5 linked regions of the Oryctolagus cuniculus genome follow. The protein of the gene in region 1 purifies or fractionates together with the protein of each later gene. This does not show direct contact. Links are inferred from orthologs where the notes say so. Each region holds a gene or a part of one and is shown in the gene's direction. Other genes may lie near its edges.

What was found.
Region 2: the proteins of DUSP9 (region 1) and MAPK14 purify together in Homo sapiens (affinity purification with mass spectrometry; 8 studies listed by BioGRID and IntAct, counting the BioPlex papers as one, with this or other methods). This does not show direct contact. The link is inferred for Oryctolagus cuniculus from reciprocal best matches to the Homo sapiens genes DUSP9 and MAPK14.
Region 3: the proteins of DUSP9 (region 1) and MAPK11 purify together in Homo sapiens (affinity purification with mass spectrometry; 4 studies listed by BioGRID and IntAct, with this or other methods). This does not show direct contact. The link is inferred for Oryctolagus cuniculus from reciprocal best matches to the Homo sapiens genes DUSP9 and MAPK11.
Region 4: the proteins of DUSP9 (region 1) and PGRMC1 purify together in Homo sapiens (affinity purification with mass spectrometry; 3 studies listed by BioGRID). This does not show direct contact. The link is inferred for Oryctolagus cuniculus from reciprocal best matches to the Homo sapiens genes DUSP9 and PGRMC1.
Region 5: the proteins of DUSP9 (region 1) and MAPK3 purify together in Homo sapiens (affinity purification with mass spectrometry; 4 studies listed by BioGRID and IntAct, with this or other methods). This does not show direct contact. The link is inferred for Oryctolagus cuniculus from reciprocal best matches to the Homo sapiens genes DUSP9 and MAPK3.

The regions. Positions count from the first base shown.
Region 1 is NC_091453.1:132,017,932-132,021,558, forward strand, and holds part of DUSP9 (dual specificity protein phosphatase 9), read left to right. Parts: intron 1-98; 5' UTR 99-279; intron 280-867; exon of another isoform or gene 868-1,627; intron 1,628-1,771; exon of another isoform or gene 1,772-1,867; intron 1,868-2,133; 5' UTR 2,134-2,168; coding exon 2,169-2,541; intron 2,542-3,348; coding exon 3,349-3,627. UniProt on the Homo sapiens protein: Inactivates MAP kinases. Has a specificity for the ERK family.
Region 2 is NC_091436.1:133,478,650-133,483,259, reverse strand, and holds the start of MAPK14 (mitogen-activated protein kinase 14), read left to right. Parts: upstream 1-1,487; 5' UTR 1,488-1,850; coding exon 1,851-1,966; intron 1,967-2,558; exon of another isoform or gene 2,559-2,693; intron 2,694-4,610. UniProt on the Homo sapiens protein: Serine/threonine kinase which acts as an essential component of the MAP kinase signal transduction pathway.
Region 3 is NC_091442.1:123,217,515-123,222,344, reverse strand, and holds the start of MAPK11 (mitogen-activated protein kinase 11), read left to right. Parts: upstream 1-1,855; 5' UTR 1,856-1,922; coding exon 1,923-2,038; intron 2,039-3,577; coding exon 3,578-3,707; intron 3,708-3,985; coding exon 3,986-4,044; intron 4,045-4,128; coding exon 4,129-4,240; intron 4,241-4,766; coding exon 4,767-4,796; intron 4,797-4,830. UniProt on the Homo sapiens protein: Serine/threonine kinase which acts as an essential component of the MAP kinase signal transduction pathway.
Region 4 is NC_091453.1:73,830,424-73,833,733, reverse strand, and holds the end of PGRMC1 (membrane-associated progesterone receptor component 1), read left to right. Parts: intron 1-1,353; coding exon 1,354-1,457; 3' UTR 1,458-2,663; downstream 2,664-3,310. UniProt on the Homo sapiens protein: Component of a progesterone-binding protein complex. Binds progesterone. Has many reported cellular functions (heme homeostasis, interaction with CYPs). Required for the maintenance of uterine histoarchitecture and normal female reproductive lifespan.
Region 5 is NC_091450.1:7,472,254-7,476,764, reverse strand, and holds the start of MAPK3 (mitogen-activated protein kinase 3), read left to right. Parts: upstream 1-1,241; coding exon 1,242-1,414; intron 1,415-2,378; coding exon 2,379-2,561; intron 2,562-4,229; coding exon 4,230-4,419; intron 4,420-4,511.

The DNA.
Region 1 (3,627 bases):
CGCCTCGCTGGAAGTGTGTGCTTCGCGTTGCTCCCTTCTTAGGGAAATGGCTTGTGGCGCCCTCACCGTGTGCATAGCTCGGCTTTCCTGTGCTTCAGTTCCTTAGGGCGGAACCCTCACAGGTAGCTCTCACTGCACGCTGCCAGCTGAACTCCCCAAAGGTTGACTTCCAAACGGACCACACCGCTAGAAAAGTGGCCAGCGAGAGGGCGCAGCATGGTGATTTCCCAGCAACCTTGTGCCTCGTCCTTTTGAGTGCTCTTTCTTCCACGCCTGAGGGTGAGCCCCCTCCCAGGATGTTTTTTGCCCCGTGGCATTCCACCTTAGTGCAGCGTGGAGCCTTTTCCCCACGTGTTCTCAGGGTCTTGACCTTTTGGTCGGTTTGTAGAGCTTTATCTTATCTGTTGTGCGTCTTCCTTCACCACTGGTATCTGTTTTCGTTGGGCTTCGGGCAGAGAAAGGACACACAGGCAGAGGGGCTTTTCCATTGTCTCAGCGCTCAGCACGTCTCCCATCTGAGATGTCGTTCAGTGGCCCTGCTTATGCTGGGTCTGTGCTGCGGCACACTGGGAGTGCCCTGTGCCCCGGGGAAGGATGGGGGGCCCCGGCCCGGGCTAAATGGTGTTCTGGCACACGGTGGGGCAGAGAGCAGGTTCGTGAACAGAGGCCCAGAGGCAGGGAGACTTTGGGAAGCTGTCACAGTGACCTGGCCAAGAGTTGGTGAACGCGAGTGCATGCCAGTGCAGGACACAGGAGATCATGGATGTGAGAGAGATTTTCATAGAAACTGCCTCTTTCCAGATTGATCAGTCTGGGGGTGGCGGTGGGGCTGGGGGTGGGGAGGGGTGGGGGAGCTTTGAGTTTGAAGCAGAGGGAGGAGCTGGGGTGGCTGCTAGGGTCAGTGTGTGGAGGAGCAGAGTCCCCCAGAGTGCTGACACCCTGGAGCTGCTCCTGGCAGCTTTCAGCCAGGTGCGTGTGAATGAAGCTTCCAGTGACATCCCGTGCTGCTCCAAGGTGCTGGCTCTAATGAGCCCATTATACAGATCGGGCCACTGACGTCCATGCAGGGGCTGTGATGGTCCGGAGTCACCACTAGCTGGGTTAGAGGCAGCCTCTGGGCAGGGGCGCTGGGCTTTTGTCCTCACCCCCTCCCCCTGCCTCCAGGGACCAAGCTGGCGCCGGCCAGGGGAACTACAACTACTCCCCTACTGGGCCCCTGACCTGCCCTTGGCCTCTGCCCCGACCCTATCCCGCCTGAGTGGAAGGCTCAGCTCAGCCTGCCACTCGCGGGTCCCACCCGACTGATTTCGCTTACTTCGATTGGCTTGCTGGCCCCCCTAAGCCCGCCCCCGCCGCCCCGCCCCGCCCCGGCCCGCCCCTCTGAGCGGCTACTCCACGTCCGAAGGCAGCGGCTTCTAAGGTGGAAGCTCAGTCTTGCTGCCAGGAAGCGGCCGGCGCGCGAGCAGCGCGAGGCTGAACTTCCACGTGCGAGCCGCTCCACCGCCCCGCCTCCTGCCGGCGCCGGGCCTGGGGACTCCCCGGCCAGGGACGGCACCCGCGCCCCGCGGTGGCAGTGCTCTGGCTGGGACGTCCGTGCGCGGCCGCCTGCCGCGGGATCGCTCTCCAGGTCTCTCTCCTTTTGTTCTCTGCTGAGGGTGTGGGGGGCCCGGGCCAGGTCAACCCCGAGGGGGCTCGCGGAGGCTCCTCACCCGGTGGCACTTCTGTTCCCTGGTAGTGGGGTGGGGGGACCTTGACCCGCACCCCTTCGTAGGCACACAGCCCTAAAGTCGGAAGCTGGAACTTGAGGAGTGACCACCCCCCCACCCCCGGCCCAGCTCCCGGGCAGGCTGAGCGAGAGACGCGGAAAGTAGGTGTGAAGGGAGGTGCCTGTGGCCTCCCAGCGAGTGCCCCGAGGGCACCGTTAGACGCCCAGCCATCTCCTGGGTGCGGGGGCGGCGGGGGGTGGGGGAGGTGTGGCACCTCTCACACTGTGGGAGCGGTGAGCAACTGCGGGGTGACCCTGAGGGACGGTGGGCGCCCGCCCCGGGCTTGGCTTCCCATCTCGACGCCCCCGGCCCGCGCACCGGGAGCGCAGACAGGCACTCATGCCACGCGTCTTCCCTCTGTATGCAGCGCCCCCGGACCGACGTGCAAGAAGCCTCAGGGCCATGGAGGGCCTAGGCCGCTCGTGCCTTTGGCTGCGCCAGGAGCTGGCGCCCCCGCGCCCGCGCCTGCTGCTCCTGGACTGCCGCAGCCGCGAGCTCTACGAGTCGGCTCGCATCGGCGGGGCGCTGAGCGTGGCCCTGCCCGCGCTGCTGCTGCGCCGCCTGCGGAGGGGGAGCCTGTCGGTGCGCGCGCTGCTGCCCGGGCCGCCGCTGCAGCCGCCTCCGCCAGCCCCGGTGCTGCTGTACGACCAGAGCGGGGGCCGGCGCCGGCGCGGGGAGGCCGACGGCGAGGCCGAGGAGTGGGAAGCCGACTCGGTGCTGGGCACCCTGCTGCAGAAGCTGCGGGAGGAAGGCTACCTGGCCTACTACCTACAGGGTAGGTGCCGGACAAGAGGCGCCAGGCACTGGCCTGGGGGAAGGGGGACGAGGGGGGGGGGACTGGGCCCGGGGAAGACCCTGCCTTCCCGGGGGATTCATAATTAATTTGACCTTGGCCAAGCCTCACCTGACAACCTGCCAGGCTGCTTTTGGGGGAGGGGAGCGGGAGCCTGACTTTGGGCAAGTCCCTTCACCCTTGGAAGCCCCGGGTTTTCTGAGTCTGCGCAATTGATGCTTAAGCACAAAGTTCCTGGGGCAGGACAGAGCAGGGGCAGTCTCGGGCTGGGAAAGGGGAGAGCAGCGGTAAAGGCAGCAGGAGCAGGCTGGTCAGGGAAGGTGGCTGGGCTGTGTGAGGGACGTGTAAATAGAAGAAGTGTCAGGTTTCCAGCCCCCCCCCCCAGCCAGGGCCTGGGAGGGAACCGCGTTATCGGTAGATGCAGCGGATGCTGGCTCCTTGGGCGGGGGAACGCTAGATTCTCTCCCGAGCGCCCCCCCCAGCCCCCTGCATCTCTCAGGCAAGGAACTGACACTGAAACCTTTCCTCTTTGCTGCTCGCTGCTTGCAAGTCCATCCGGGACTCCCACGGGGGTGGCAGGGACCCAAGCACTGAGCTGTCACCCGCTGCTGCCTCCCGGGGTGTGCGCTCTGCAGGAAGCTGCCAACACAAGGACTGGCCCCCAGGCACTGTGTCCAAGATGCGAAGCAGGCATCTTACGCACCCCGCCCCAGCTGTTGGCCTTTGCATTCCCCTTGGGGACACCTGCAAAGGGACAGCTTCCGAGGCGCTCCGCTTCTCTCCCCACAGGTGGCTTCAGCAGGTTTCAGGCTGAGTGTCCTCACCTGTGTGAGAGCAGCCTCAATGGCCACGCGGGCTCAAGCGTAGCCTCCGTGCCCGGCCCGGTGCCCGTGGTGGGGCTGGGCAGCCTGTGCCTGACCTCCGACTGCTCCGATGGGGAATCCGAGGCTGACCGCGACACCATGACCTGTGGCCTGGATTCGGAGGGCGCCACGCCCCCTCCCATGGGGTTGCTGCCATCCGTTCCCGTGCAGATCCTGCCCAACCTCTACCTGGGCACCGCCCGCG
Region 2 (4,610 bases), on another chromosome or scaffold:
GCCAAGGGATCGGGAAGGGGTTCAGTCAGGGAGCATAAAGTGACGAGACCGACGGGGCGGGCGAGCCAACTCCAGGGCGTCTGGAAGGAGTCCGCTTGCAAAGGGCACGAACTGCCTCTTGCCGGTGCCGTTCCACGCGGCCGTTCAAAGCAGAGGCGGGAGATAAGCTTCCAGGCACCGTCGTCAGCCACTCACTCTACCAATATTGACCGAGCGAGCGCCCGCGACGTGCGGGACCCCGCTGCGGGCGGCGGACCCAGCCCGGCCCGCGACCCGCGACTCTCTGCCTGCAGCCCCGCCTCCCGGGCGGCCCTGGCAGCAGCTCACCTGTTTCCCCGCCCGAGGCGGGAGTGCGGCGGGCGGCTCGGGTCTCCCAGGGCTCTGGCCTGGCTGGCAGCGCTGCCGACCCGGACGCCGGCGGTTCCCGAGCCGTTGCGGCCGAACCCGCGGGCGTTCGGGGCGGGCGGGCAACGAGAGCGGGGGCGAGGAAGGAGAACACGGCCGTGGGAGCCCTCGGCCCCTGTCCTGGGGTGGCCCTCAAAGGATCGGAGGACAAGATAGACTCCCATCCTTGCGCTCAGGGTAGCAGGCGTTAGCACGGGCCGGGCCAGCACCAGTAGGTATGGGCCTGGGGTTACAACACTTGCCCACTCGCGGGTATTTTCTTGTCCCTATGAGGTGGGAACGGAGGACCGGAGTTCTCTTGCAACTGAGCAGGGCCTACCGGCTTGCCTAAAAGCGACATTGCCACAAGCGCACTCCCTGCTCCTCCGCCTTCCTGGGAGAGCCCCCACTTAAAATCTCCAAGTCCTCTTCTCAGGACTGCTCTTGGGGCCGAAGTCGGTTTATAAGCTTCGGGGCCACGGCTTTTAAGACACATCAGAGCCACCTGTACGGCCCCGACCCCCGCAGAGGCCCCTGAGGGTCCCGGGGCGACCTTTGCACCCGTTCGGGTGCAAAGTCTCGGCTTCCAGCGGGGCTAATATTTGTCTTTGGGGCCGATTTCGTCAGCGTCCCGGAGGGTTAGCCATCTGTCCATGAGCACACGGGAATGCGACGGCCTTCTGACTGGAACCAGTTTTTGACGCCGGTATTTCTTGGAAACGGCGGAGTTCCACCGAGCAGGTGCTCGGCCGCAGTTCCAAGATCTGTTGGCTCTTTTCCCGACACGCTTACTCGTCCCCGTCGCTCTCCGCAGTGGTCAGGCACTACAGCCCCACCAACCACAGTGGGGCGCGCGCGGCCTGTGGTGCGCGAGCATCCCCGCCTTAGCCGTCCGCCTCGGCGCCCCGAAGAACAGTCCCCGGGAGTTCCTGCCTCTGGGCTCCAGCTGTTGCTCTCTTCTCGCGAGAACTGCTCCTCCGGCGCTCTCTCCTCCCGAACCCCCTCCCGCGGGGAGGTTCCATATTGGGTAAAATCTCGGCTCGCGGAGAGTCCCGGGAGCTGATCTCGCGAGAGGACGGCAGGCGGCTCCTGTTCGCTGGCTCTGGAACTGCGACCACTGGAGCCTCAGCTGGCGCTGCAACTGGAGCGGGAGTCCAGCGGCACGGCCCGCCGTCGGCCCGGCCCGGGAGAGGGTGCAGGGAGACCCCGGCGGGCGCAGCCCTCAGCCTCGGAGCGCGCTCCTGCCCTTTGCCGGGCTCGCCTCGGTCCCTGAGGCGCGTCCAGCAGCTGCAGCTGACAGGGGCCGCACGCGCGGGTGTCTGCGGGGGTCTCAGCAGCCGCACCTGCGCGGCGGCCAGCGCGAGGTCCCCGCCCGCCTGGGCGGGCGACGAGGGCCGGGGAGCGGGCGTGGGTGCAGGCGGGGGCACCTCAGGGCCACCTCCTCGCCCCGCGGCCGTCGCTGGAAAATGTCTCAGGAGAGGCCCACGTTCTATCGGCAGGAGCTGAACAAGACAATCTGGGAGGTGCCCGAGCGTTACCAGAATCTGTCCCCGGTGGGCTCTGGCGCCTATGGCTCCGTGTGGTGAGTGTTGCTAGGCCCGGGGCCGCGGTGGGTAGGGTGGCCCCTGGTGCCCGAGGGCCAGGCCTGCCCCCGCGGCTCCGCTATGCGCCCAGCGGCAGGAATTTCCCCCGAGGGAGAGCATGGCTGTCCCTGCACCCCCTGCATCCCGCAGCCTGCACGCCCAGGGCGGTGGTCCATTGCGTGCAGGCGCAGGTCCGCTGTGGGCGGTAGGTGGTGGTGCTGGCTGGAGCTCGCTCCTGGCGCACGCCCTGCGCTTTCGTTTCGCTGAGCGCTGCTCCCCCCCGGGGGGCAGGCCCTGGGGGAGGGGCGGCTGTTCTGCGGGGAGCTGGGGAGGGGGGTCCCTACGAACACTTTGCAGAAGGACCCTCTCCCGGGGGTGCACCCGTCCCGGGGGCGCGGACGACCCGGGGAGCTGCGGGAGAAAGCAGAACCCGGTTGGGAGATCGGGTGGTCTGAACAAAACTGACGACGAAGGTAGCCCCCTCCAGGCTTTTCTTTCTTTCCTTCTTTTTTGCAAACCTCTGTGGAAATCCCGTCTGGAGAAGCGTTCTTTTTGAATTCGCAGCGACCCATAGGGCTTAAAATATCGGCTTTATCTCGGCGAGCCCTGTGCCAGCTTGAGTGGTGTGTTTCCGATTCGGTCGAGAGCGTGTTTCCTTTCCGTGGAGGGCGGCGGTGGTGGCTGCCGCTTGAGAAACTGGCGGCCTGGCTGATTAGTCACATACCACTGCTCATTTAAAGTATTGTTTGACGAAGCAGGGTTCTCACGGGGAGCAGGGGAGCCTCGGATCCCTCCGCCGCGTGCCCTCGAAACCCAAAAGTCGCTCACGGTGCAGGGAGCTACTGTGAATATTTGAAAGTTGAGATAATTCCTGTGAATCGTGTATTTTTAAGGCCCCTTGGAGAGTGTGCAGAGACCTTATCTGTGGCTATGGCCTGAGATACACTTGGTTTTCGTTAGGATCGGGAACTTCCAGGAGAAGAAAGTTAGACACCGGCCAGCTGTCCTTTACAAGGTGCCTGTATTTAAGTTGACACCAGGACATTTCCAGACCTGAAGTATTTCACTGACTTCTCTAACTTCCAAGGCCTTAGACACTGTATTTTATACTTAGTATCTTTTGAGAGCTCCTGATCTGAAACTAAGTGTCCGGCTTCATAGTAAGCTTTTTCCTGTTTTATCAATTCCTGGGCATGCATGGGTGGAAAAGGAGCTAGGAAAATGCTTTTTTTGTTTTGTTTTGTTCGGAACAAATTCCAGGCTTTTGGATTTGTTCATCTTTAAATATGATTCCCGTGTTTCTTAAAATCACATCATGAATTTCCTGTTTGGTAGAATCTTCTGGGTAATTGAGATTGTGCAATTGTGTCCAGCAACAGATCGTATTGCATTTTCTAGTTCAAGCCGCTTGAGTAATGCTGCAGGTGTCACCGTGGCTGACATCTTTCTCCCACTTTTACGCTGTGGCAGTTAACCTTTTCAAGGAATTTGAAGCTTTTTTAGTTAGTATATATACTAGTTATTGATTTGCTAATTTTCAGAGGTGTATTTAGATAATTGCTCCTTTAAAATTTAAGGACTCTGTGGCCAGCGCTGTGGTGCTGTTATCCCACATGTGCGCAGACTTGAGTCCTGGTGGCTCCACTTCTGATCCAGCTCTCTACTGTGGCCTGGGAAAGCAATGGAAGATGGCCCAAGTCCTTGGGCCCCTGCACCCAGGTGGGAGATCCAGAGGAGACTCCTGGCTCCTGGCTTCAAATCAGCCCAGCTCTGGCCTTTACAGCAGATGAAAGACCTTTCTCTATGTCTCTCTTCTCTCTGTCTGTAACTCTATCACTCAAATAAAATCTTTGAAAAAAAAATTTATGGGCTCATTAATATACCTCCATTTTTCATTCTTTTTAAGGTTTTATTTATTTATTTGAGAGGTAGAGTTACAGGCAGTTGAAAGGGAGAGATGGAGAGATAGGTCTTCAATCCGCCAGTTCACTCCCCAAATGGTCACAACCGCTGGAGGTGGGCCAATCTGAAGCCAGGAGCCAGGAGCTTCTTCTAGATCTCCCACATGAGTACAGGTGCTTAAAAATTGAGCCATTTTCTACTGCTTTCCCAGGCCTCAACAGAGAACTGGATCGGAAGAGGAGCAGCCGAGAATCAAACTGCCGGGACTCAAACTGGCACCCATATGGAGATTTAACCTACTGCACCACAGTGCCACCCCCTCCATTTTCCATTTTTTTTAAAAAAAATTATGTATTTGAAAGGCAGAGTTAGAGGGAGAGAGAGAGAGAGAAAGCTTCTCCCTGGTTCACTCCTCAAATGGCTGTAACAACCAGGGCTGGGTTAGGCTGAAGTCAGGCACCTGGAACTTCATCCTGGTCTCCCATGTGGGTGAAGGGGCCCAAGCACTTGGGCCATCTTCTGCTGCTTTCCCAGATACGTTAGCTGGGAGATGTATAGAAGTGGAGCAGCCAGGACTCCAACTGGAGTGCATATGGGATACCAGCTTTGCAGGCAGCAGGTTTAACTTGCTGTGCCACAACGCCTGCCCCTGTTTTTTCATTCTTGAGTTGACACATGAATTTTCATAGTATTCATCAAGTTTTTGTTTCCGGTGATATTTAAGCATTCATGGACTGATAA
Region 3 (4,830 bases), on another chromosome or scaffold:
ACAGCTGTCTTTTTCACTCTGCTGGCTGGTTGGGCTCCAGGGGCTGCTGGTCTGTCCCCACCCACCTGTTCCCCTTCCCTGGACACTGCTGGATCTGAGGTGGGCCCCTGTGTGGGCCAGGTGGGACCAGGCCAGCCTGGCTGGGTGCTGGAAAGAGACTGGCTCTAGCGCCCCCATCTGGCGCCCTCAGCGTCCCCCTCCCTTCCCCGGGCAGGCATGAGGCAGCAGCGAGCGAGAGAGATGCCTGGTAAGCCTCGCGCTGTGTGCCGGCCCCACTGGACAGAGGGCCAGAGTCTCAAGGCCTTGGGGCTGTGAGGTCAGCTTTGTCCCACGAGCTACCCAGGATGACTCGCCCAGGACCACCCTTTGCACCTCTGAGGGCGACGGACTCCTCTGCTCCTGCCTGGTGGGGGTCTGGGTGGGGGTAGGTAACCCCGAGGACCTGGGGCGGGGCCACAAGATGAAGACGTAGTTTGGGCCTGCAGCCAATGGGACGGAGGGGCCCTGCCCCCACGGAGCTTCCTGTGAACCCCAAGCAGGCTGAGCCCAGGAAGAAGCAGAGCGGCCTGGACACTCGCTGTCCCTGTGTGCGTTGTCTGAATGGTCTCCGGCCTGGTCTCGCCGCTGGGGCCTCCCCTTACGGCTGGGGAGCCCAGGAGCCGGGGTCAGGGGACTGTGAACCCCTCCTGGAAGGGGGTGACTCGGGCCCCTCCCCAACACTGGCTGTAGGGAAACAGGAACCTGGAGGCCTGGCTTCCAGGGGTCTGCTGCTGCTGTCCCCCGGGGCAGTCAGGAAAGAAGGGGCTCATCTGTGAGGACACCCCTACACACGCAAGGGACACTCAGGGGGAGGGGAAGGCTGTAGGTCCTGCCATCCACGCCCAGGTGGTCTCCACCCTCACCCCTCCCCTTAGGGATGGGAGTGACAGGACCCAGGAGCCTGGCTGGTGCCAGCGAGGGGTGAATGTTGGCTTGTCCAGGTGGCCAGAATGCCCTTCAGCCCCAGCGGTGACCAGCCCTTCCGGTCACTGTCCAATTTCCAGTGAGCAGGGGGAGGGAGAGGTGAGGATGGGAAGGAGCCACGAGCAATGCTGCTGACCTGTCCATGTCCAGAGAATGGAGCCAAGACTGCATCCTGCTTGTTCCAGACCCTCACCAGCGATTCGTGTGGCGGTGGGGAAGCATCCACTGAGTCCCCCTCCCCGCCCGGGTCTCCGAACCCCTTAGGGGCCCCAGCAGGACAGGCCCTGGACCCCGGCCAGGGTCCCAAGACCCATGAAGTCTGCATGAAGCTGCGGGTCCAGGGAGCTCGCTCCGCGTTTCACGCTGGTCCCAAGCACCCCAGCTTCACCGGCGCGCGCCGCTGGGTTCGTCTTGAAAAAGAGGGGGCGACTGGAGCCCAAGTTCCTCCCATCCCGGGAGGGGGCGTCCCGCCCAAAGCCCCCGACCCAGCGTCTGTCCGTGCCTGCGGCGACTGCCCGCGAGGCCGGGGCTTAACGGGAGGACGCCGGCCACGGGACCGCCGCGCAGGGCGGTAGGGGCGGCTCCCAGGGTCTGGGGAAGTTCGGGTGGGCTTCCCGAAGAGGCAAAAAGTACGAGGGACCCGAGGGGACTCATCTGGGGCCGCTTCTTCCCGAGCCCTGGCCCCAGAGGCCCCCCGGGTCGCCGCTGTCCCTGGTGCTGACCGGCCGCGCCCGCGGGAGACCCCAGCAGGTGGTCCGGCGCCACAAAGGCCCGGCCCTCAACCCCCTTCCGTCCCGAGAGGAAGCGCTTCCCGAGCTCCGGGCCCGGATCCCGCCGCCGCCCCGGTTTCCGCTCGGCTCCGGGCGCCCCCGCCCCAGCCAGGAGCCCCGCGCGCGCCCCGCCCAGCGCCCCGCCCCGCGCCCCGCCGCCCTCAGCTGCGCGCGGCTCCGGCTCCGGACATGTCGGGGCCCCGCGCCGGCTTCTACCGGCAGGAGCTGAACAAGACGGTGTGGGAGGTGCCGCAGAGGCTGCAGGGGCTGCGCCCGGTGGGCTCCGGCGCCTACGGCTCGGTCTGGTAGGGGCGGGGCGCGGGGCGCGCTCGGGGCTGCGGGCGTGGGGAGGGGCCTCGGCCTGCCCCCGCCCCCGGGCCCTGCGCGGGCCGCGGCGATGCGTCGGGGTGAGGGCGTGCGAGAAGCGTGCCCGCCGCACGCCGCCCCCAGCGGGGCGGGGGTCGTCTTCCTGCCGCGCCCAGTCCCGGGATGGCGCGGCCGGCGGAGGCCGGGCGCCCCGGGGCCCTCGGCGTCTGCGCTCCCCTCGCAGTTCCTGGGTTAGGGGTCGCGCGGCTCAGGGTCCGGCGGATACCCCGCCCCCGCCCCGCGCCATTGTTTGAAAACGGAGGCTCGCAGCGTGGCCTCGGAGCCCCTTGCGGGTCCTGCCCACTCCTCGTTTTCCCAGGAGTCTCGGACTCCATCCTGAGCGGGGGACCTGACGCCCGATCCCCAGAGCGCAGGTTCCAGAGCCTGAACCCAAACAGACCACGGCGGCTTGTGGGGGGCGGGGGTGCCGATTGGGCCGCGGCCTTCGCTCCAGGACAGGAAAGCCGGACAGGGCGGTGACAGACCAGCGTTGTGTAGACAGGCTGCTCACAGGTGTGGACGCTGCCAGGTGCCCCCATGGCACCCGACGAGGTCGTCACTGGCCGCTGCTGGGTCCCAGTGGGGCCGGAGAGGCTGGGGACTGGTGGGCGGGCGTGGCTGCCCGCACCTGGGCGGATCTTTGCCTGTCCCCGCAGCCTGAGGCGGTCACCTCGGCCACTCCAGCACCGGGGCACCGTCTTCCGGCGTGTGTGAGTGACCAGAGGATATTGTGGCAGGAACCCAGGTGGACTCATGGCTGGGTCTGCACATCTGGGAGTTCCGGGGGTGTCAAGTCCCCACAGGGGGACCTGGGCTTTTCTGGGCTGCACCCCAACCCTCCATGTTTGCTGAGTTCCACTGCCAAGGAGGTGACTGCGCGGGTGCCCATTCCCTGTTGCTCAGCTAACCACACAGATGCAGTTGGGCCAAAGGATCTGCCACCTCCTCTCCAGCAGTGACTTGGATTTGCCCCTGTGGGTCACAACCTGGTGATGGGGGCACTGGGGGCCTGGTGAATTTTTCTCTGCCACTGGCACCCATGAGCGTCCCACACCGGGGGCAGTCAAGTCTGGGCTCACTGCGGGGCGGGTTCTGAGGGGAAGGGAAGGGGTGCGTGGGCGGGCGCATTGGCCAGAGAGCCGGCTGTGCAAAGGGCTCCAGACCTGCTCCCAGCTGAGCCCTGATCGTGACCGAGACTGCTGCACCTGCCGCCAGGCGAGGGGCTGCTGCCGAGGGGAGGGGCGTGGGGCTGGGCAAGGCCGGCCTCGCTGGGCATTCCCAGTGTCCACTTCCGGTTGCCAGTGATGCAGCACACACTTCTGGACCTGCCCAGTCCCGGGGTAGGGGGCACCCTCTGCCCTGGGAGTACCCAGGCCTCTCCCCGAGCCGGGGCCCAGCCTCAGGGGCTCCTCTGGATCTCGGGCGAGGAGGGGTTGGGCGCGGAGCTGGGGAGGCTGCCTCACTCGCCCGCCTTCCAGCTCAGCCTACGACGCCCGGCTGCGGCAGAAGGTGGCGGTGAAGAAGCTCTCGCGGCCCTTCCAGTCGCTGATCCACGCCCGCAGGACGTACCGGGAGCTGCGGCTGCTCAAGCACCTCAAGCATGAGAACGTGAGCGGGTGCTGGCCGGCGGGAGGGAGGGCCGGCGGGAGGGAGGGTGGGGGGAAGGACCGGTGGGAGGGAGGGTGGGGGGGAGGGCGGGGGGGGTGGGGAGGGCCGGCGGGGGGGGGAGGGCGGGGGGGGTGGGGAAGCCCGGTGGGGGGGAGGGCCGGCGGGAGGAGGGCCCCGGGCCCTGGGCCAATGGGAGGGAGGGCTGGCAGGAGGAGGGCTCTGGCCTGGGGCCGAGCCCTGCCCACCGCATGCTGCCCAGCTGCTTTCCTGCCTCCCAGGTCATCGGGCTTCTGGACGTCTTCACGCCAGCCACGTCCATCGAGGACTTCAGTGAAGTGTGAGTGCCTGGCGGCTAGAGGAGCACCTTCGGCCCACGGCAGTGGGGCTCCGGCCTGACCCCTGACCCCCTACCTTGCCCCAGGTACTTGGTGACCACCCTGATGGGCGCAGACCTGAACAACATCGTCAAGTGCCAGGCGCTGAGTGACGAACACGTCCAGTTCCTGGTATACCAGCTGCTGCGTGGGCTGAAGGTGGGGGTCTCTGGGCGTGGGCTAGAGGTGGGGTCTTAGGGCCTGGGCTGGAGGTGGGGTCTTAGGGCCTGGGCTGGAGGTGGTGGTCTTAGGGCCTGGGCTGCAGGCGGGGTCTTAGGGCCTGGGCTGGAGGTGGGGTCTTAGGGCCTGGACTGGAGGTGGGGGTCTTAGGGCCTGGGCTGGAGGTGGTGGTCTTAGGGCCTGGGCTGCAGGCGGGGTCTTAGGGCCTGGGCTGGAGGTGGGGTCTTAGGGCCTGGACTGGAGGTGGGGGTCTTAGGGCCTGGGCTGCAGGCGGGGTCTTAGGGCCTGGGCTGGAGGTGGGGGTCTTAGGGCCTGGGCTGCAGGCAGGGTCTTAGGGCCTGGACTGGAGGTGGGGGTCTTAGGGCCTGGGCTGTAGGCGGGGTCTTAGGGCCTGGACTGGAGGTGGGGGTCTTAGGGCCTGGGCTGCAGGCGGGGTCTTAGGGCCTGGGCTGGAGGTGGGGGTCCCTGGGCACATGGCCAATGCTCACCACCTCCCTCCCCGCAGTACATCCACTCTGCAGGGATCATCCACCGGGTAGGTGCAGCGTGGGCGACGGGCGGCGGGTGGG
Region 4 (3,310 bases), about 58 Mb from region 1:
TACAAAAGTAGCTCTGGTTACCTGGTTAGACAGGTTGGCCACTCCTCTAATTCCTACCCATATTCATAAAGAGGAGACTTGCACATCTTAGCTTCTGCCTTTGAGACGATTAACCTTGCATTCATTTAGCTGCATTAATGTGGTGTTGGCTGACTCCATCCCCTCTCAAGCGTTTACATTGGGGTTTACACTATTCTGTTTTCTCCAACATCCCCAGTCCTCTCCCGACTCCTTTACCACTTCCTGTGGCTGCCCATAGGTTTCTAACTCATGCCAGGTAAGATTCTGTCTCCTGCTATCCTTGTATCCACTAGATTGTGATTCTTGCTCTTCACTGTCAAACTTGGAAGAAGTTGTTGTCCCTAGCCACTCCTTCATTTCCTGTCTGCCTCCTTCCTCCCTACAACATGGCTTCTTTCTCAAAAACTCTTTCTCCAAAGTTTCCAGGAATGTGCTTTTTGGAATATCAACCTCCAGCTTTGATCGCCTGTCATGTGCCCCTCTAGGGTGGCTCCCTCTGCAGAGTCCCCATTTTGGATATCCCATTGGCACTTCCTTAACTCCGGTCAAAGTGTATGGGATCCCTCTTTTCCATTCCCATAGCAGCACCCTCCTCCTGGCTGCGATTCCTTCCCATCTGGCTCGGCACACTTGCCCCCTGGTGACCCTGCTGCTCGTCTCTGTGGCTGGAATCTGCCCTGTACTCCACAGCGATAATATTGTTGCTAGAACACTGTTTTACCACGTCATTTATTTCCCCACAAACCTTCCGTGCCCTTTAGCACCTATAGGATGAGTCCAAACTCCTCATGCTGGCTTTCCAAATATTTCACAATATTTACCCACATCACTTCACCAACTTTGTCCCCTACTTCTTCCAGCTCTGCTGCTGCCCTCTTTGTTGGCTCTCTTTGTTGCTCCCCAGATGGGTGCAGCCTTATCTGTGTCCCTTTGTGCATAGTGTTTTTATTTTCTGGACATCTCCCTCCCCAAATGCTTCTACATATTTTCCCAAGTGTAGCCTCCTTCCACGAAGTGTTCTGCAACGCTTCTCAGTAACTCATAAGGAGGCCTTGCTCTTCTAGTCACTCCCAACAACACAAGCAGTCCATTCTGACACTACTGTGCATGTTCATTGCTAGACATTACTACCTGTTACACTTCTGCCTCCTGAACAAAGCAGTCACTTCTGCTGGCAAGGACTGTGCTATAAACTGCCTTTGGGTCTTTCAAGAAACTTCACACATTGCTGAGTCTGTAGGCCTGTACGGAATGTTTTCAAAGGCGTTAGGATAGTGATTTTTTTCCAAAGCATGAAGAATGACCGTTTGTGTTTTCTTCCTCTACCTCCAGTCAAGTATCACCTCGTGGGCAAACTGCTGAAGGAAGGGGAGGAGCCCACTGTGTACTCAGATGAGGACGAACCAAAGGATGAGACTGCGCGGAAAAATGATTAAGGCATTCGGTGGAAGCATATCTATTTTTGTATTTTGCAGAATCATTTGTAACATTACAGTCTGTCTTTAAAACATGGTGATTTCGATATTTAGAAAAGTTTGGAACTTGCTGTAAATTTTTTAATTAACATCGCTAGTGACACTGATGAAATTAACTTCTGTCTTAGAATGCATGGGATGTTTATGTGTCACAAATCCAGAAAGTGAACCGCAGTGCTGCAATGCAAACATTAATGGTGTTTCTCTTCTATCTGTAGTTAGTACAGGCTGAATTGTAAGACCGTTTTTCGTGAGGAACGGTTAAGGCTGGGGTTCTTCCCCAAACAGGTGAAAAATGTTTGATGTGCACTAAGAACAAAGGATCAGTGTTTAGTCATGATGTCTCTAAAGATAGAAAATCCCTCTGTTCTCAATTGACTTAACTGCATGATTTCTGTTTTATCTACCTCTAAAGCGAATCTGCAGTGTTCCAAAGGCTTTGGGATTGATTGAAAAGAGCTGTCCATAACAAAATGAAATCTCACAGCTGGGCTCAGTTGGAAAAAAACATATATGCTGTGCTTTGGACTGCATTGTGGTCTCTGCCCTCACGTGGACCCACAGACGCTCTCACAAGCACAGTAATCTGCAGTTCGGATTACAACAGGATCTGAACATTTAAAAGAAAGCTTTGGAAAAAAAACCTAAGCTGGCTTGCCTATAAAACCTAAATATATGAAGACGATTATGGGACTATAGTCCCAATCCTTGTGTTCACGGTGGAGCCATGATTATTTGGTTTTTCAACACAATTTGACCTGAAAGAAGGGCATACTGAATGGGAGCAGGTATTTGTCCTAAGAGCCTCCATGCACACCTCTGAAAAATGAGGAAACAGTACATGTCACTAGCCAAGTGGTCCTTAAAGTGTATTCATAAGGTGACAGTCATTATGTTGTTCCAAAAGTGTAGTCGCTGCGAAAGTAGTAGTCAGGTGTGTCTAGGCCTGTGATATCCCGCCTTTGGTTAACACTAAACTTAGCTTAAGTAGACTCTACAGTTGTATGAATTTGTAAAATTGTACTATGAACAACTAGTGAGGTTTCAGACTTCTGTAATTGTAGTTAAATAGTCATTGTATTTTCTTGTGACCTGTGTTTAATGGTTTTACCTCAAATCAAAACAAGATGAAGTGCTTTGTTCAGTTAATAAAATGATTTTACTCAATATAGTATGGTGGCTTAGTTTTTTTAGAACTTATTATAAGGAACCAAATGCAATCATTTTACTTTAGCTCAAAATCCAGAATTTCATTTTTTCAAAAAAAAATTTATTTATTATTTGAAAGGCAGAGTGACAGAGGAGGAGGGAGAGAAAGAGCACGCACTTCTATCCATTGGTTTCCAGATGGCCACAGCAGCCAAGGCTGGGCCAGGCCAGGCTGAAGCCAGAGGCCTGGAAATCCATCTGGGTCTCACATTTTTGGATGGCAGGAGCCCGAGCACTTGGGCCATCATCCACTGCCTTTCCAGGCACATTAGTAGAGAACTGGATTGGAATTGGAGCAGCTGGGATACAAACTGGTGCCCATATGAGATGCCTGTGTTGTGGGCAGCGGCTTAACCCACTGCCCCATGACACCTGCCCCCAGAGTTTCATTTTTGAGTGCAGATTTTTTTGTATTCAATTCAAAACAAGTCTATAAAGGGGCAAAACCTCAAGCAGAGCTCACACCAAATACCACCTTGTCCTGTTAAAAATTGATGAATTGAATTGCTTTTTCTGGCTCATCAAATGCTAACTTTTACCCAGAGCTTTGTAAACTAGAAAAGGCAGACCTGAACCTTGAAGTATATAGCAAAGCTAATAAAGGA
Region 5 (4,511 bases), on another chromosome or scaffold:
TGGGGCCATTTGAGGCGTGAAGCAGTGGATGGAAGATCTCTCTCTGTGTGTAACTCTGCCTTTCAAATAAAAAGGAAATATATTTTTAAAATTTGATTCATTCATCAAAAAGAAAATTTTTTTAATGTTTCAGTGCCAGGCATGGGGGTGGGAGGTGGGGATCCAGTGAGGAACAAGATTGACCTTGGCCCCTCTCAGCCTACTGAGAGAATCAGGAAGATGACAACCCTCTTGTGAGTTCAATTTTGCCAAATCCAACAAGCTGGATTTTTCTTTTTAAGATTAATTGATTAATTACTTTAAAAGAGTTACAGAGAAGGAGAGGCAGAGAGAGAGAAAGTCAATCTTCCATCTCCTGATTCAGTCCCCAAATGGCCCCAATAACCAGAGCTGGGCCAGGCGGGAGCCAGGAGACTCATCTGGATGGGCCCACATGGACGCAGGGGCCCAAGCACTTTGGCTGTCTTTGGCTGCTTTCTCAGGCCATTAGCAGGGAGCGGGATTGGAAGTGGAGCAGCCGAGATGCATATCGGATGCACCTGCTATGTCACAGCGCCGCCCCAGATTCTTTCCTTCTTCAAGTGTATTTTAACGAAACCTGCCCACCTGGCACGCACGTGGGGGCAACAGCTGGCCCTGCTGCAGCTGCTGGGAGGGCCAGGGCCTGGACCCCACGCCGGCAGCAGCACCTCGGGCTTCGGCCTCACCCTTAAACGGCAGGTGGGTCTCCACGCGGCTCTGATTTCAAGTACACTCCCTCGGCAGCCGAGCAGAGCTGGCTCAAGGAGGCCAAACCACCAAGGGCCGAGAGGACCCCCAGGGGGCTCCCACAGGAGCAGCTCTGGTCCCAGAAGGCCAGGCACTCCGGGGTGGGGGGCGTCCGGCCCCAGCACACCTTGGCCGGGTGGCCCTGGGGAAGTCACCCGCCAGCTGCCTAGAAATCGAGGGGGTATGGACCGCGCCTACAGCCGCCCGGCGCGCCCGCTCCCAGCACACGGAAGCCCGCAGCGACCAAGCACCGCTGCCCGGCGGCGGGAAAGCCGGACGCGCGCGGGGAGGGCCACGTGACGTCCGCGGGCGCGCGCCCCGGCTCCGCGGCGCGCGCAGGGCGCGGGGGCGCGGGGGCGCGCGGGGGCGGCGCGCGGGGGCGGGGCCTGGCGCGCGCGGCCCCGCGGGCGGGAAGGGGCGGGGCCTCGGGCGGGGCCGCCGTGGGGAGGGCGGGCGGGAGGGGAGGAGTGGAGATGGCGGCGGCGGCGGCGGCTCAGGGGGGCGGGGGCGGGGAGCCCCGGGGAGCCGATGGGGTCGGCCCGGGGGTCCCCGGGGAAGTGGAGGTCGTGAAGGGGCAGCCGTTCGACGTGGGCCCACGCTACACGCAGCTGCAGTACATCGGCGAGGGCGCGTACGGCATGGTCAGGTGAGGGGGCGTTCCGGGGGAGGGGGCGGCCTCAAGGGAGGGGGCAACCCCGGAGGAGGGGGCGGAGGAGGGCTGCAGGGGGCTCGTTGGGCCGTGGAGACTTGGAGTGGCCTGTAGAACCTGGGCACTCTGGAGGCTTGGTGGAGTATGCCCGGGATAGGAGCCCTGGGGTGCTTTCTGGGGGAGGGGGCGCTGCCCATGTTCCTAGGGGAGGGGGCTTGGAGGCTTTGAACGGGAGCCCTCCGCCCCGAAGGGAGCAGCGGTATTTGGGTGTCTGGGGTTGAGGGAGCGGTGGCCCTAGAGACCCGCGTGGGGCGACGAGAATCAGTAGTCTTGGTGAACGAGGACCCTCTTTTGAGAGAGGGGACCTTAGGGTGCCTTGGAGTCCCCAAGCGAGGCTGTGCCCAGGAGTGGAGCGGCACAGGCAGGGCTCTGGGTGGGGCGAGGCTTCGGGCCTCCGGGCCTGAGGAGAGGTGGGGAGTGCCTGCTTGCCTGCATCTTGGGGAGGGGTCTGGGAGCTGGCCCAGCCCTACTGTGTGCTTTGGGCCTTTGCACCGACCGGAAGTTGCTCTGCTGTCCTCGGCCCAGACCCGCCCCTCGGTCCCGCTCCCTGGCCCTGTGGTGGGTTGAGGCAGCCCATGGTGGGGAGGGAGGCCCGGGCTTGGGCAGAATGGAAGGGGGTCAAGCAGAGGGGAAGTCAGCGAGTGGCCAGTCTTCCTCTGTTTGTGAAGTCACCGAAAGGCGGCCTGGCTGGTCCCCAGCTTTCTCCCTGGAGAGCCCAGGCCTTCACAGCAGGAAGGAACGAGCATTGTTTATAACTTGGCCAGAGCCCTCTCCTGCTCTGTCCCCTCCCTCCCTGCCCCTGGCCTGGGTGGGGCCCGCTGGGCCTGGTTCCCGCTCCCCCCCCCCCATCACCACCACCATCATGGCCACACCAGCAGCGACGTCTCTCTGGGCCTCTCAGCTCAGCCTATGACCACGTGCGCAAGACCCGCGTGGCCATCAAGAAGATCAGTCCCTTCGAACACCAGACCTACTGCCAGCGCACGCTGAGGGAGATCCAGATCCTGCTACGCTTCTCCCATGAGAACGTCATCGGCATCCGGGACATTCTTCGGGCTCCCACCCTGGAAGCCATGAGGGATGTGTATCCTACCCCTGGGCCTCCAGAGCTGGGCTCCCCCCTGCCCTGCCACCCTCCCAAATGAAGGCAGTGACAGGCCAGAGGCCCCTCCCCCCCTGACCTGCGGCTGTCAGGCAGGGGGACCTTGGACAGGTCCCTTCTTTGCCCCAAGCCTCCATGGGGAGCCTGGGCGCCAAGGTCTCTTTGGGCTCTTTGTTTTCTGCTGTCTGCAGTTATGTGACCTGCTCTGCCCACGGTCACTTCTTGCTGAACAGACTGGTGATTCTTTCTCTCTGGATCCCCAGACTGGAAAGACAGCAGGGAGGAAGAAAACTGCTTTTTCTTGAGGGCCTACTGCGTGTCAGGTGCTACCCCTGCCTTTGGGTCCCAAGGATGAGGGGACTGAGGCCCGGAACAGCCCCCAAGCAGGTGTCTCTGTGGCTGCCTCACCCCTCCCCCACGCGGGAGCTGGTCCTTATCTTTCTCTGGGACTTCCTGCTCAGAGCCTCGCCCTGGTCACCCGCGCACCTGCCCCTTGCCCAGGGAGGGACAGCTTAGCCTTAATGCCCTCCCCCAAGAGTGCTTTTCTTGCTCCTTGTCCACTTCCGGCCTGGCTCAACCTGGCCTTGCGACACACGTCGCCTCCTCGCCACCCACCCATACCACCTGCTGGTCCCAGTCCAGTCCTCCATCCAAGGGTGGGGATTTGGGTGCCATGGCCAGAGCCCTGCCACAGACCAGGGACGGGAGATTTCCATACTCACCCAGCTTGCCGTGTGACCTGGGGCAAGTCACTGCATTTCCCTTTGAGAGAACACAGGAGATCTAGGCCGGGCCAGATGTTCTCTGAGCAGGTGTGCTGTGGGGGGTGTCTCCTCTCTCATTGTCCTCCCACAAACAGGCAGGCATTTTATTTTCATGCAAAAAAATCAAAATACTTGGATAATTTTTTTTTAAGATTTATTTATTTGGAAGGCAGAATTAGAGAGAGAGAGAGGTCTTCTATCTGCTGGTTCACTCCCCAAATGGCCACAATGACCAGGGCTGGGCCAGGCTGGGCCAAGAGCCAGGAGCTTCCTCTGGGTCTCCCACATGGGTACAGGGGCCCAACCTTTTGGGCCATCTTCTACTGCTGTCTCAGGCACGTTAACAGGGAGCTGGATCAGAGGTGGAGCAGCCGGGACCCGAACCAGTGCCCGTATGGGATGCTGGTGTTGCAGGCGGCAGCATTACCCGCTATGCCACAGCGCCAGCCCCCCAGGAGCTTTTTGAAGACCCCTTGAATTAGTGGACTTTGACGGGGTTTTTTGCACCAGAATCAATTTCAGTGATTTTTTTTTTTAAGTCCCCAGTGGAGATTTGAGGCATTACTGGGTGGACCCTGGAGCTGTCACTCTGAACCGGCATGTTCTCCGGCCCTGGACAGCTTGTTAGTAGCCCCATTTCCCAGGGCCGCAGGAGAGAATGCTCGGGGTCACCTGCCGGGGGTGTGAGAGGCCCTGTGCCCTGCTGCTGAGTTCAGCCCGGCTCTTGACAGGGGTTAGCAGATCTGCCGGGTCCCGGGGACCCCAGGTGAGGGGACGTGCGGGGACGTGCAGCCGCATCACCAGAACCTGATTTCCTTAACTGCGTGCCTCCCCCTGCCCCCTGCCCCCTGCCTGGGGGAGGGGCGGGGTCTCGGGCCGTTCCCAGCTACATCGTGCAGGACCTCATGGAGACAGACCTGTACAAGTTGCTCAAAAGCCAGCAACTAAGCAACGACCACATCTGCTACTTCCTCTACCAGATCCTGCGGGGTCTCAAGTACATCCACTCGGCCAACGTGCTCCACCGGGACCTGAAGCCCTCCAACCTGCTCATCAACACCACCTGCGACCTTAAGGTCCGCGGCTGGCCGCGGCGAAGCTGTGGGAGGAGTGGGAGTGCTCGGGCCTGCAGGGGCCCCGAGCCCTGCGTTCAGCAGCCTGGGTTTCA